3 linked regions of the Arabidopsis thaliana genome follow. The protein of the gene in region 2 interacts with the protein of the main gene of each other region in a pairwise test. Each region holds a gene or a part of one and is shown on either strand. Other genes may lie near its edges.

Evidence for each region.
Region 1: the proteins of NAC038 (region 2) and AT3G50650 interact in a two-hybrid assay, tested with the Arabidopsis thaliana proteins (one large-scale study listed by BioGRID).
Region 3: the proteins of NAC038 (region 2) and AT4G09100 interact in a two-hybrid assay, tested with the Arabidopsis thaliana proteins (one large-scale study listed by BioGRID).

What each region holds. Positions count from the first base shown.
Region 1 is NC_003074.8:18,805,510-18,810,024, reverse strand, and holds AT3G50650 (GRAS family transcription factor), read left to right. Parts: upstream 1-1,781; 5' UTR 1,782-1,924; coding exon 1,925-3,553; 3' UTR 3,554-3,886; downstream 3,887-4,515. UniProt on the Arabidopsis thaliana protein: Probable transcription factor involved in plant development. Involved in environmental abiotic stress resistance. May increase the expression of stress-responsive genes. Binds DNA in vitro.
Region 2 is NC_003071.7:10,382,866-10,388,511, reverse strand, and holds NAC038 (NAC domain containing protein 38), read left to right. Parts: upstream 1-1,886; 5' UTR 1,887-1,914; intron 1,915-2,031; exon of another isoform or gene 2,032-2,079; 5' UTR 2,080-2,125; coding exon 2,126-2,312; intron 2,313-4,057; coding exon 4,058-4,329; intron 4,330-4,503; coding exon 4,504-4,995; 3' UTR 4,996-5,015; downstream 5,016-5,646.
Region 3 is NC_003075.7:5,809,426-5,812,381, reverse strand, and holds AT4G09100 (RING/U-box superfamily protein), read right to left. Parts: upstream 1,268-2,956; 5' UTR 1,127-1,267; coding exon 728-1,126; 3' UTR 536-727; downstream 1-535.

The sequences.
Region 1 (4,515 bases), on a different chromosome or scaffold from region 2:
CCACTCTTTGTTCATACATAAGAAACCCCACCGATGACTTGGATAGAAAGAAAAGACAAATCAAACCCTTTCATTCTTACTCATGTCCTTTTCATACACCACTCATTCTCTCTCTCTCTCTATCTATTTTCTCCAAGTCCACTTGCAGATAGGTGCAATGGTTAAACACTAAAGTGGGATTGCCATTTTCAAAGACAAGTCCTTTTCAAAAATATCATCTTCTTCATTCTCCTTGTTGAAATCATTACCAATTTAGAACAGTCCATGGCACTTTGTAGTAAAAAATGTCAAAAGTGAAAATCAAAAGTAGACTTGGGCCAGGGACCATATACCATGTTTAGTAATGTAATTTAGATATTTAAGTTATAAGTAGTGGAGAAGTAGGCCTTTTGACGCGGATACAACGATGAAATGAAAAGAGTGATGTCTCAAAGAGTCAAGTGTCGTTCCCATGTGCTTTTTGTTCGCTATTGCTCTTTTCTATTTCATTCGCTTTAGGTTTTTAGAAATTGCAAAGTCACAAAGAGCTTCCACACTCAAACCTCAAATAAGCAAATTCTCGAACTATGCGTCGTGTATGAATGATAATTCATAAAACTTGGTTTGTTATTGAAAGACTTTTAAATTCTATAATCCTCTTTGGACTCTTTTCTTGTTTCTTCTTTGCTTGTGTTTTTTTTTTGGTATTTTTGTGTAATTTTTAGCTTTTGGCTAATGGCTACTACATTTTCTTCGTCAAAGTTCGTCCACCAACAACAGATACTAGTAGAGCCCGCCACAAATCGCTTTTGCTCCATTGTATATGGGCCTACTTACGGACCCACAAGCCGTCCTCCACAACACTAACGTTGAGATAAAAAAGACATGCGTATACAAATAAAACATGTCTATTGTTTAATTTTTGCTTGCTCAAGTCATATTCAAGATGTTAGCTTAACTTGTCGAAAGGTTTTTTTACAAAAGTAACTGAAACTAAACCAATGAAGTCACTGAAATTTGTTAACCAAAGTCCAATTTAACGACCCTTTTAGTTGATAAGAAACAGCTTTGAAAAACCTTGACCTTTGCGGCTTGAAAGCAGAAGATAATAACCTAATTCTTTTTACTTTTCTTACATCAATCTTTTTACCTTTATAATACTGTTAGTTAAAATGAAAAAAGACAGAAAAGTTGCAGGCGACATGCAGGTGACAAGTAGCAGAAGACAGTTGTCGACGTGTCACATTCACCATTTCAGCCAAAGCCATTGATCTGATTCTAGACGGTGGAGATGAGGTCACACTCTTCGATACGTAACTGCCGATACATGACGTCATCGTGTCTGTGGGTCCCATAAGTGAGATATCGTTTTACTCTCTCTTTTTTTTCATAACGTCAACTCTTTTTTTTACCCATATTAACAGAGTGGTAATAATTATTTAACAAAAAAAAACCTATGTATTTTTTATTTTTTGGTCAAAAGGTTTCTGAATAAATTTGTAAGATTATACGAAACTACAAATTCATGAGATATAGAAATTATTCAATTGATATTTTGATAAATTACATTTCTATTATTAAATTCTTGAAAATAATTAAATACAAAACTGAGTTTTTTAGTAAACTATGTTAGTTAGTTTCTTCATTTTTTGTTGTTGTTGTTGGTTTTATAGTTTCTTCATTTCTTGCAGTTAATAACGTAATTTTGTACTTTTAAACTAAAGTGGTAATTGATTAAAAATACAGTACTCGAAAATGATAAATCGGATGACAAAAAAAAAGAAAATGATAAATCAAAATGAAAATACTCACTTTCTTACTTTTTTCTTCCTACTAAAATCTCTCCGGTTTCATTCATATCCCTCTCTCTCTCTGGGCCTTACTCAATCACCACCAAATAACAGACAAAAAAACGCCTTCATCGCCGGCGAAAGTGAGTCGGAGAATGGCGTATATGTGCACCGACAGCGGAAACTTAATGGCTATAGCACAACAACTCATCAAACAGAAGCAGCAACAACAATCACAACATCAACAACAAGAAGAACAAGAACAAGAACCCAACCCCTGGCCCAATCCATCCTTCGGGTTTACTCTTCCCGGTTCGGGTTTCTCCGACCCGTTTCAAGTAACCAACGACCCAGGTTTTCACTTTCCACACCTGGAGCATCATCAAAACGCAGCCGTCGCTTCCGAGGAGTTTGACTCCGACGAGTGGATGGAGAGTTTGATCAACGGTGGAGATGCGTCACAAACCAATCCAGACTTCCCAATCTACGGCCATGATCCATTCGTCTCATTCCCGAGTCGACTCAGTGCTCCTTCATATCTCAACCGAGTCAACAAAGATGACTCAGCGAGTCAACAACTCCCTCCGCCACCAGCTTCCACCGCTATATGGTCTCCATCTCCGCCATCACCACAACATCCTCCTCCTCCCCCGCCGCAGCCGGATTTTGATCTAAACCAGCCGATTTTTAAAGCTATCCACGATTATGCACGTAAACCGGAAACTAAACCGGACACACTAATTCGGATCAAAGAATCCGTGTCCGAATCAGGCGACCCGATACAACGAGTCGGGTATTACTTCGCAGAAGCTCTGTCTCATAAAGAAACAGAGTCTCCGTCGTCATCGTCGTCGTCATCCCTAGAAGATTTCATTCTCTCATACAAAACCTTAAACGACGCATGTCCATATTCAAAGTTCGCTCATTTAACAGCGAATCAAGCAATTCTCGAAGCTACGAATCAATCAAACAACATTCACATAGTCGATTTCGGGATTTTTCAAGGTATTCAATGGTCTGCTCTGTTACAAGCTTTAGCGACCCGTTCTTCTGGTAAACCCACCCGGATCCGGATTTCGGGTATACCCGCTCCGTCTCTAGGAGACTCACCGGGACCGTCTCTGATCGCTACGGGAAACCGTCTCCGTGATTTCGCGGCGATTTTGGATCTCAATTTCGAGTTTTATCCGGTTCTGACTCCGATTCAATTACTAAACGGGTCAAGTTTTCGGGTTGACCCGGATGAGGTTTTGGTTGTGAATTTTATGCTTGAGCTTTATAAGCTTCTAGATGAAACAGCGACGACTGTTGGTACGGCGCTCCGGTTAGCTAGATCGTTAAACCCGAGGATTGTGACGCTTGGAGAATACGAAGTCAGTTTAAACCGGGTTGAATTTGCTAACCGGGTTAAGAACTCTCTCCGGTTTTATTCCGCGGTTTTTGAATCGCTTGAACCGAATTTGGATCGAGATTCGAAAGAAAGGCTGAGAGTGGAGAGAGTGTTGTTCGGTAGGAGGATTATGGATTTGGTCCGATCAGATGATGATAATAATAAACCGGGAACCCGGTTTGGGTTAATGGAGGAGAAAGAACAATGGAGAGTGTTGATGGAGAAAGCTGGATTTGAGCCGGTTAAACCGAGTAATTACGCGGTTAGCCAAGCGAAGCTGCTACTATGGAACTACAATTATAGTACATTGTATTCACTTGTTGAATCGGAGCCAGGTTTCATCTCCTTGGCTTGGAACAATGTGCCTCTCCTCACCGTTTCCTCTTGGCGTTGACTACTTGGTCCGATAAGTTAATCTAGTATTTTGAGTTAGCTTTTAGAATTGAATTGTTTGGGGTTAGATTTGGATGTTTAATTAGTCTCTAGCCTATTCTCTTACTCTTTTTTATCTAGTGCTTGGAGTGATGATGGTTTGTCGTTTATGTTCATTTGTAATATATATTGTATGTAACATTTGACTAGATTTCTTTGGTATAAACGAAAGAAGCTAAACCAAATTCATGTGAATGAAAAAAACACTAGAATTAACCCCTGAAATTGAGGAAAGGAGGTGATGAAGTTTGATTTTGAAATGAGAGTATTATGGTCCCATAAAAGAGACTGAAATTTGAATTGCACTAAGATCTTTCACTAACACACCATTTCTTCTCCCTTTTCATCATTTTGTCTCCACTTTTTCTTGCCTAATATAGTTTTGTTTACTTCATGAAAATTATATACCAATGTTTTCTGTACCATTCACTGAATAATAAAATAGGAGCATAATTATTTGTCAGTGAAGTAAAAGCCAAAAATACGAAGGCGCACTGACAAGTATTTCAATCTTTCTGTGTCAGTCTTGTTTCTCTTTGTTCGAACTTCAAACGTGCCACTATGACGTCAACTCTCGAATTTCTTCTTCAGTGGTCTTTTGGTCCCCATTTCCTATATCTCTCAGCCACTACTCTGACTCTGTCTGTGAGTCTGATAGTAAATTTTACTTCCCTAACGAAGATAAAAGCCCACTCTGTTTATGCTTGGCCCAAAATAAACAGGCCTAATCTCTGTCCCATTCCTTTATTTATATTAGCCACAAACAAAAACAATACATAGAAGTATTTTGCAAATAACCCAACCAAGTCTTGACTCTTCACAGCTAATTGCTTACAATTTGCCAGCTTGATTTTTCATTTTTTAGAAAATCATGGTTAGGAATCCAACATCTATAAGTGTGATGATACCTGAAATAAAAATTAA
Region 2 (5,646 bases):
TTCCATTGATTAATTACTCTATACACCTTTTTTTTGTCGGGCAAAATCAATATATTAGGACAAGACGTCGGAAAAAGTTTGGAAGAAAACCAACAATGTGTCCGCAATATTTGGACCGTAAAGAATGATTATATATTACGTTTATACAAAATGATCTTGAAGTGAGGGTACCTAAAATGCTAGGTTGATTTCCAAATATGTATTTGTGTTGGAGCGAATTAATCAGCGGGTTGTTGAATGATCACATGAAATCCTTAAGATAATTGAAGGAGACTCAAATTACACACACGCAAACTCATCCATATCTGATCTTAGATATATTATATATGGAACTAACATTGGTCATTTTGCGGTCTTGAGCGGAAGAGATGACTCAATACTTAGTACTTTTCTAAGAAGATTGAACTCAAAACAGCCTCAACGAGCTAAATTATTTTTGTGTGAAGATAGAACTCAAAATTACATCCACAGAACTGCAATCTATTTATATGCGAAGAGATAACGCAACATTTAATTTTAGCAAGCTAAAATTCACTTTCCAATTAAACGTAAACTCAACACTTACTTTCAACAAACTGATATATCTACTTGAAAAGAAAACTCAACGCTTGCACTCAGCGAGCATAACTTCTCTTCTTCTTCTTCTTTTTTCTTGTCGAGGTAACAAAAATGTCACAAGTTTTGTTGAGGAGAAGAGTTTACAGTCACATCGGGAGTTTTTTTTTCCCATTAAATCTCTTTTCTTTGGAGGTCTTTAATTTGATTCTCAACAGATACGTGATCAAGTTGTGAATAATCAATTTTTTTGTGAATATATACCAACTCGAATAAAATAAAAACATAAATGGACAAAATAAAAAAAAGTCAAAAAATAAAATTGTCATTAATTATTATGTGTCCTTTTTTGGTAATTTATTTTTGGGAAAACAGTAAATATTTTATTGTGTTTAATTATATAGAAGAATAGCTAATATTTGGAACAAAATTGTTCACGTGGAAAAGACAGTGAGAAAACTTGGATCCATCCATAGTCCATATATATGGGTAGTCTTCCTTCTTTCTTTATTTGATGTGTTATTCATGACCATTTTATATTTGAATTAAATCATATAAACCATTTGATTCTTTGACCATCGACCATTGACCCCTAAACCAAACATATGATTTTTTTTGGGAGTCGTAATTAGCAACAAAACGGACCGGCTCGTGCGTGATCCGACACCAACACCAACATAAGGTTTTTTTTTTTCCGTTCTTAACACCAACATAGTTCATTCATATATATAGGGAATATACACATGTGGGTGTGTGTATAAGTATATCTGTATATATGTATAAGCTAAGATGAATTAATAAGGGTCCTAAAAGGAGAATTTCTTGACCAACTACACAAAATAAACAAAGGATAAAATTTGGACGTGTGAGGTTTAGCTGCATGTACCTTGTACTTGAAGACCCTTATTAGGTGAGAGCTTCATGCACACACTCTCTTCCACATTTTCCTCCCTTTTCTACATAATAATTTCTACCCCATACAATAGTAATGTTATTTAATTATTTATAAACAATCACATAAACACTGAAATGTAAATTATATTCTTACAGCGTCTTATTGAAAATTCTATGTCTTTCAAACTTAGATGGTAATTGGGTTTTCTAAATATGCTAACAAAACTTAGAATTGATAAATATGTGTATGTATTTATAAATTAATCAAAACCGTGTTAGCGTAATTGTTTTTTAATCCCATTCACGATAAAGTAAGAAGAAAAAAACCCTACTCTTTGTCGTCTTCCTTCATCTTTTTCCTCCTAAGAATAGTCGCAAGTCATCCTTGTCTCATGATATATAAATACCATCAAAACCCTAATCTCATAAAAGTTTTAGTTGTCTGGTTTTTCCTCATCTATACAAGTAAGCCCAATTTCTCACCCTATACATATCATACATATATATCGATCTTTTACTATTCTCTCTTCTTTCGAATTCCTCCTTTAATACCTTTGTCTTATGGATAAACAGTTGTAGAACGCTAGGATCTATGTGAAACTTAGACTTGTTACTATGTGTTTTAAGCAGGTATAAAAAGGTTCTTGGATTTGGAGTAAACTAAAGATCATATAAAATGGAACAAGGAGATCATCAGCAGCATAAGAAAGAAGAAGAAGCTTTGCCACCGGGTTTCAGATTTCATCCGACGGATGAGGAGCTAATCTCATATTACTTGGTTAATAAGATTGCCGATCAAAACTTCACCGGGAAAGCAATCGCTGACGTTGATCTTAACAAGTCCGAGCCATGGGAGCTTCCTGGTACGTTAATTTATCTTAAGTCTCTTATTCGTAGACACACACAAATTAAAAGATCACATGTATGAATAAACATATTTTTTTTCCTATGTCGATACATGTATATATAATATATATATATATTGATATATATCTTTGATTTCTTTAAAATTTGGTAAGACCTATATTATTTGGATTTAAAGATATCCAAAGGAATATGTGTCTTTATATATGCATATTGCTTATTGCTTTGGATATCTTTACACATATACAACTAATACACACATGAGTAACATGACTTAAATGAACCATATATATGTGTTTGTGTGTGTGCGCATGGATGTGTATATGGATATACTACTTGTACACACATAACACATAAATGTGTGTGTATTTAAACGGAAAACATAGTGTTCATGTTAAATGATCTTTCTATTTTGGGAAGCATTTAAAAGTTCATAACACCCACTATCTATATTTTTTGCCTAATGAAAATGCCATAATATCATGAGTACATTCTTGGCGACGTACTAATCGTAAGTCAGTTAGTGTAAAAAAAATGTACACCGGTTAGATATCACATCCACAATCTACAAAACTCTTTTCTTGTACTAAATATAAGCTTATAGACATGAGCTTATCGAACGGAGGCTAGATGTATACTAAATGTTAATCTTTGGAATATATATATATATATATATATATATCAATCCAAGAAAAAAAAAGTCTATGTAATAGTTTAAGTTTCTGTGAGAAAAAAAAAACTCGGTGATTTAAAAAAATAGTAAGCATATATCTTTAAAATAGAAAGTCACACAATGAAGTTTCCTAACAAACATTAGTTGCATGAACGGAAGTCATGCATTCACTACCGTACGTACGTTAATTTCTTATCTACTTATTTTGTCTTTAATTAGTTCTATCCATAATCCGATAAACTAACAATATCTTTGTTTCTTATATTTAAACCAAACTAAACCATTTTTAAGATAACAAAAAATTCAATAATCCGCAACAGGCCACTTATTTACATTTACATTTTCACTTTACTTTTTATTTTTATTTTTCTGAATAAAATCTTAAATTAAGAAAAAAAAAAAACCTTTTACATCGAAATGCAAAAATGCTGAAGATTTTTTGAAAGCAATTAATAGACAAGTGATTTACATTTAAATCCTAGAGGCAAACCAAGCTTGAAGGCCTGATTCGTATCTTTTGTCACCCGTATTTCGAATTGCTCATAGTTGATTCTGGACTTGCTTAACTATCTAGTTCATGAGTGTAGCCGTATAGGTGTTGGGGTCGGTTTCTCCTCGTGTCTCCGTCCATTTCGTTCCCCTCCACACAAAATGCAATTTCACTTTAAAGAAATGCAATATCGTTATTTTCTTACCATTCTTCAAATCTTCACGTTTTAGAAATTGATTCTGCTATATATGATGCATATGTTAAAATTATAATTAAAAAAAAAACATAACAAATCATTAATCTAGATAAACATAGTTTTTTAACATTCATAATTATTCAACTCAAAACGTTTTCGCTATTTTATTTTTCTACTATTCATCTAATATACCAACAATACTATCTTTATAAAGGAGTTACTCTATTAATCATCACTAAAACAATTTATTATCATCATTCACAGAAGCAAAAAAGAAGAAACATAATTGTTAGTTACGTGCTAAAATTTTGGAAATATTTGATAAAAAAAAAGTCAGCTAAATCGCCAAGTTATTCACAAAGTTTCTGATTTATAATGTTGATAGAGAAGGCGAAAATGGGAGGAAAAGAATGGTACTTTTTTAGCCTCCGGGACCGGAAGTACCCGACGGGAGTGAGGACGAATAGGGCGACGAATACAGGATATTGGAAAACCACAGGAAAAGACAAAGAGATATTCAATAGCACAACCTCGGAGTTGGTCGGGATGAAGAAGACTTTGGTCTTTTACAGAGGACGAGCTCCTCGTGGGGAGAAGACTTGTTGGGTCATGCATGAGTATCGACTTCACTCCAAGTCCTCATATAGAACCTCCAAGGTACACTATTTTCCTTTGTTATTCTTCTACCAAATATACATTATGTCATGGTCATGATTTAAATACGAGTCTTGAATGTTTTTTTTTTTTTGTGGGATTAGTGTTTCACAAGAAGAATATACATAAACTCAACAATTCTCATTTCATTTTTCATGATGTAACATGTAAATGCAGCAAGACGAGTGGGTAGTGTGTAGAGTGTTCAAGAAAACAGAAGCAACCAAGAAATACATAAGCACCAGTAGCAGCAGCACAAGTCATCACCACAACAACCACACAAGAGCCTCAATACTATCAACCAACAACAATAATCCTAATTACTCATCAGACCTCCTTCAACTCCCACCGCATCTACAACCACACCCGAGCCTCAATATTAACCAATCCCTCATGGCAAACGCCGTTCACCTAGCTGAGCTCTCAAGAGTCTTCCGTGCCTCTACAAGCACCACCATGGACTCTTCTCATCAGCAGCTAATGAACTACACCCACATGCCTGTCTCAGGGCTCAACCTCAACCTTGGCGGTGCACTGGTCCAGCCGCCTCCTGTTGTGTCTCTTGAGGATGTTGCCGCGGTTAGTGCTTCGTACAATGGCGAAAACGGGTTTGGAAATGTGGAGATGAGCCAGTGCATGGACTTGGATGGATACTGGCCATCTTATTGATTGGTAATTGTCAGTTTAAGTTATGGTTTTTATATTGTTTCCATTTACTTGTTGGTAAAACGTTTTTGGTTGTTCTTTCTATTGCATTTGTTTACCTGTTCTAGGAAAATATTAAGAATCAAAGACTAGTCAAACCAATTATGGTCTGGCTCTATGATTTTTAGTTACAAATAAAATAAAAGCTGTAACAATTCCCAATTTGGTTTCGATTTTTGAGAAAAAGTTTTCAAAAAGATAAAAGACAAAGAGTGATTGCTTTTAAAGAGTAATGGCACAAGTACCAAATTTATCCACATGAATCACAAAATACACAAACCAAGCCCTTAGTAGATTTCCTCTAGATGTCAATCTTCTCTGTATAAAAGACTGAAAACTTTATATTCAAAAGGCATCTCAAAAACAGAGAGAGTGAAGAACACTTTTGCACAGCGAGATTAAAAAAAAACCCATAAGATACCTCTAACATAAGCTGTTTCTTTCATACGCAACGAAGGAAACATATAGACTGTAGGTGAGGCTCACAGAGAACGCATCAAAACCCGTCTTTACCTGCAAGAATGTAGATAAAGATCAAGAAACATTAGACACATATCAGTCCAAAGTTTTAACCTCAGTCACTAGTCGCTAATAGCTTCTACACAATATGAAAGC
Region 3 (2,956 bases), on a different chromosome or scaffold from region 2:
GGTTTGTACTCGTCACGACAATACATATTGTATTACTACTATGTTTAGTTAGATTAGTTTTGGTCGGAATGATTGATTTGGCTTCTTCCTCTAACGTTTTGACTTTTGAAGAAGTCTTTACGTCACTATAGACGTAGAACAAGTACTACATTACTCATGCCCTCTCTATTAACTTGTTGATCTACGCAACAAGACTTTTCCAACAGTTTTGACCTAATCCTTATTGGTCAGTCACATCCCTCTGATGTTCACGTCCTCTCAATGGAATGTGACGGACCAATAAGGTTTATGTATTTGGTGCTAGATTATTCGCACCATAACAAATGTTTACATCATATGAGTAACTAATTAAAGCCTTCAAAGTATGGTATATAACTATATATCCGAACGTTTCATTAACTTGTAACTTACATATATACATATTTGTTGTACACAGCATGATAGGTGGTCCCTCTCCAAAGCCAAATAGATGTGTTTAGTGTGTAATACATGAACAAGTAACCAAAGAGATAAACTATGTTTTTGTCATTTTCTAGTCTAATTCATCATCATCATCATGACATTGAATAATTCAATATGCCTCAATTCCTTTGTAGATTATTTCCTTCCATGGAGTAGTATCATCATTACGGTTGGTAAAATATCAACACTATAAAGATAATTTATTTACAAAGGGAGAACTATGTAACGCAAAATGCATAGTAAAAGGCTAATTAAGAGACTCGTATTAAGGAACTACTTTAGCACGACAGATAGGACATGTGGAGCTATGAGAAAGCCAGATGTCTACACAGTCAGCATGAAACACATGTACACAAGGTGGTACCAAACGCAGCGTTTCATCGTCTTTGAATTCATTCAAACACACAACACATTCTAGCTCGCCTATTCCTGGCTCAATTCCTCTAGCTTCCGTGTAAACGAATGAAGGAAACGACTTGATGGCTTCAGCGTCAAGTCCTCGCGGTGGCCTCCTCGGACTCATTCGAGCTTCCTCAATGTCCCCGGCTGCTGCGGCACGGTTTCTGCATCGCCGAATGTAGTAATTAATGATATAAAACGCTATGAACCCGATGCTCGCAAACGCAAACACAATTGTTCCTTCGTTTCTTTTGAAGTATGACATGTTTCGTACTTTAACATCTTCTTGAGTTTTGTAATGGGAAGAGATAGAGAAAGAAGAAGAAGAAAGAGAGACGTGGGGTTCACGTCTTCTTCGTAGTTTCTAGGTGATTTCTACGCGCCACCGTGTTTCTTCGTGTTTCACATAATAAACTAGTGCAATGACTCTAGCACTTTCCCATTTGCTAATATTTTTTAGTTTCGTAATTATAGACTAAACTTAATTTGACGGAATCTAGATGAGATTGGTTAGTTTTGAGATATAGATTATTAGAACCGATCAAAAAAGGTCGAAATATGTAAACATGATATTCATATTATGTGTAGGTGAATACTGAAAACAATATTATCGTTTTTAATTATTTTTCTGATGTATTAATAATTATTTGACAGTGATCTTTTGTCCTTCTGTTTTCAACTTTTGTCTCGACAATGTTCAAGCCTTCAAGGTAATTTATTATCTCATTAGCTCTATTTTATATGAATGATATCTAAAAAATTATTTTGAAAAGAATTCATGTACAAACAATACAACATTGTGTATAAAATGAAAGGAAACAAAATTACGTAGACATAAAATTCGAAACTTTAATACAATCTTAAATGTTAGATAGATAATTATATCATAAAGAAACTTTATATATCATATATATATGCTATAAAAAAAGGTTTAGTTGACCGCCAAAGATACAAATATTTTTTTTTAGTTATTAAAAATATTTTATATAATTCGATGTTTATATACAAAATTTGAAGATCTCGTATACAAATTTTGAATGTACAATCTTTTTAATACAATTTAGATATCCTAGTTTGTATCGTTTTAAATACATAACTAGTTTCTATTCTTAAAGTTACCTTAATAGGAAACTCCCAAAGAAAATAGAAAAATAGGTTAATGTTAAAATTTCTCTAGTTTACAAGAATTATTATTCTCAGTATATTTGAAGGAATTAATAAAGAAGAATTCATAAGTTTTTATTTACCTTTAATATTTCATAGTGCAAATATAAATACGGATAATTTTGCACAAAAAAAATTATATTGAACCACAATATATCACATATGTAAACAACATTTTACGTGAATTGACTTTGTTGAGCTCTAATTAATATCGGTTAACAAAAAAAAAAAGATTGACACAATTAGCACACAAAATTTCTTCCAAAAATAGCACCTCATTTGAAAATATCTACAAATAGCACTCAAAACATTTTCTTCCAAAAATAGCACCTCATTTGAAAATATCTACAAATAGCACTCAAAACATTTTCTTCCTAAAATAGCACCTAATTAAAAAAATTATCAGTCAAAGTTTTCCGTGAAAAAAAAATCTTTCAAATTTTTCCGTGAATTTTTTTTTGTCAAATTTTCCCGCCAAAAAAAATTCCGTAAAAACTTTCCCGCCAAAAACAATTTTTGTCAAAACATTCCGTCAAATTTTTTCCACATAAGAAAATTTAGGAAGGATTCTACGAAAACTGGAAAAAATTTCACGAAATTCAAGAAAGATTTTACAAAATTCAAGAAGGATTTCACAAAAAAAAATCTTTCGTGAAACCCTTCCTTAGTTTTGTAGAAGTCTTCCTAAATTTCCTTGAAAGTTTCCACAAAATTCAGAAAAGATTTTACAAAATTCATGAAAAATTATCATGAAATTAAGGAAGGGTTACAAAAAAAAAAAAGTTTAATTCTGAATTTCTTGAAACCCTTCATGAATTTCTTAAATCCTTCATGAATTTTATAAAATCTTTCGTGAATTTCTTTTTTTTTTTTCGGGAAAATTTGTTTATAAAAGTTTTTGGTGGAAATAATTTTGATGGAAATTTTTGGG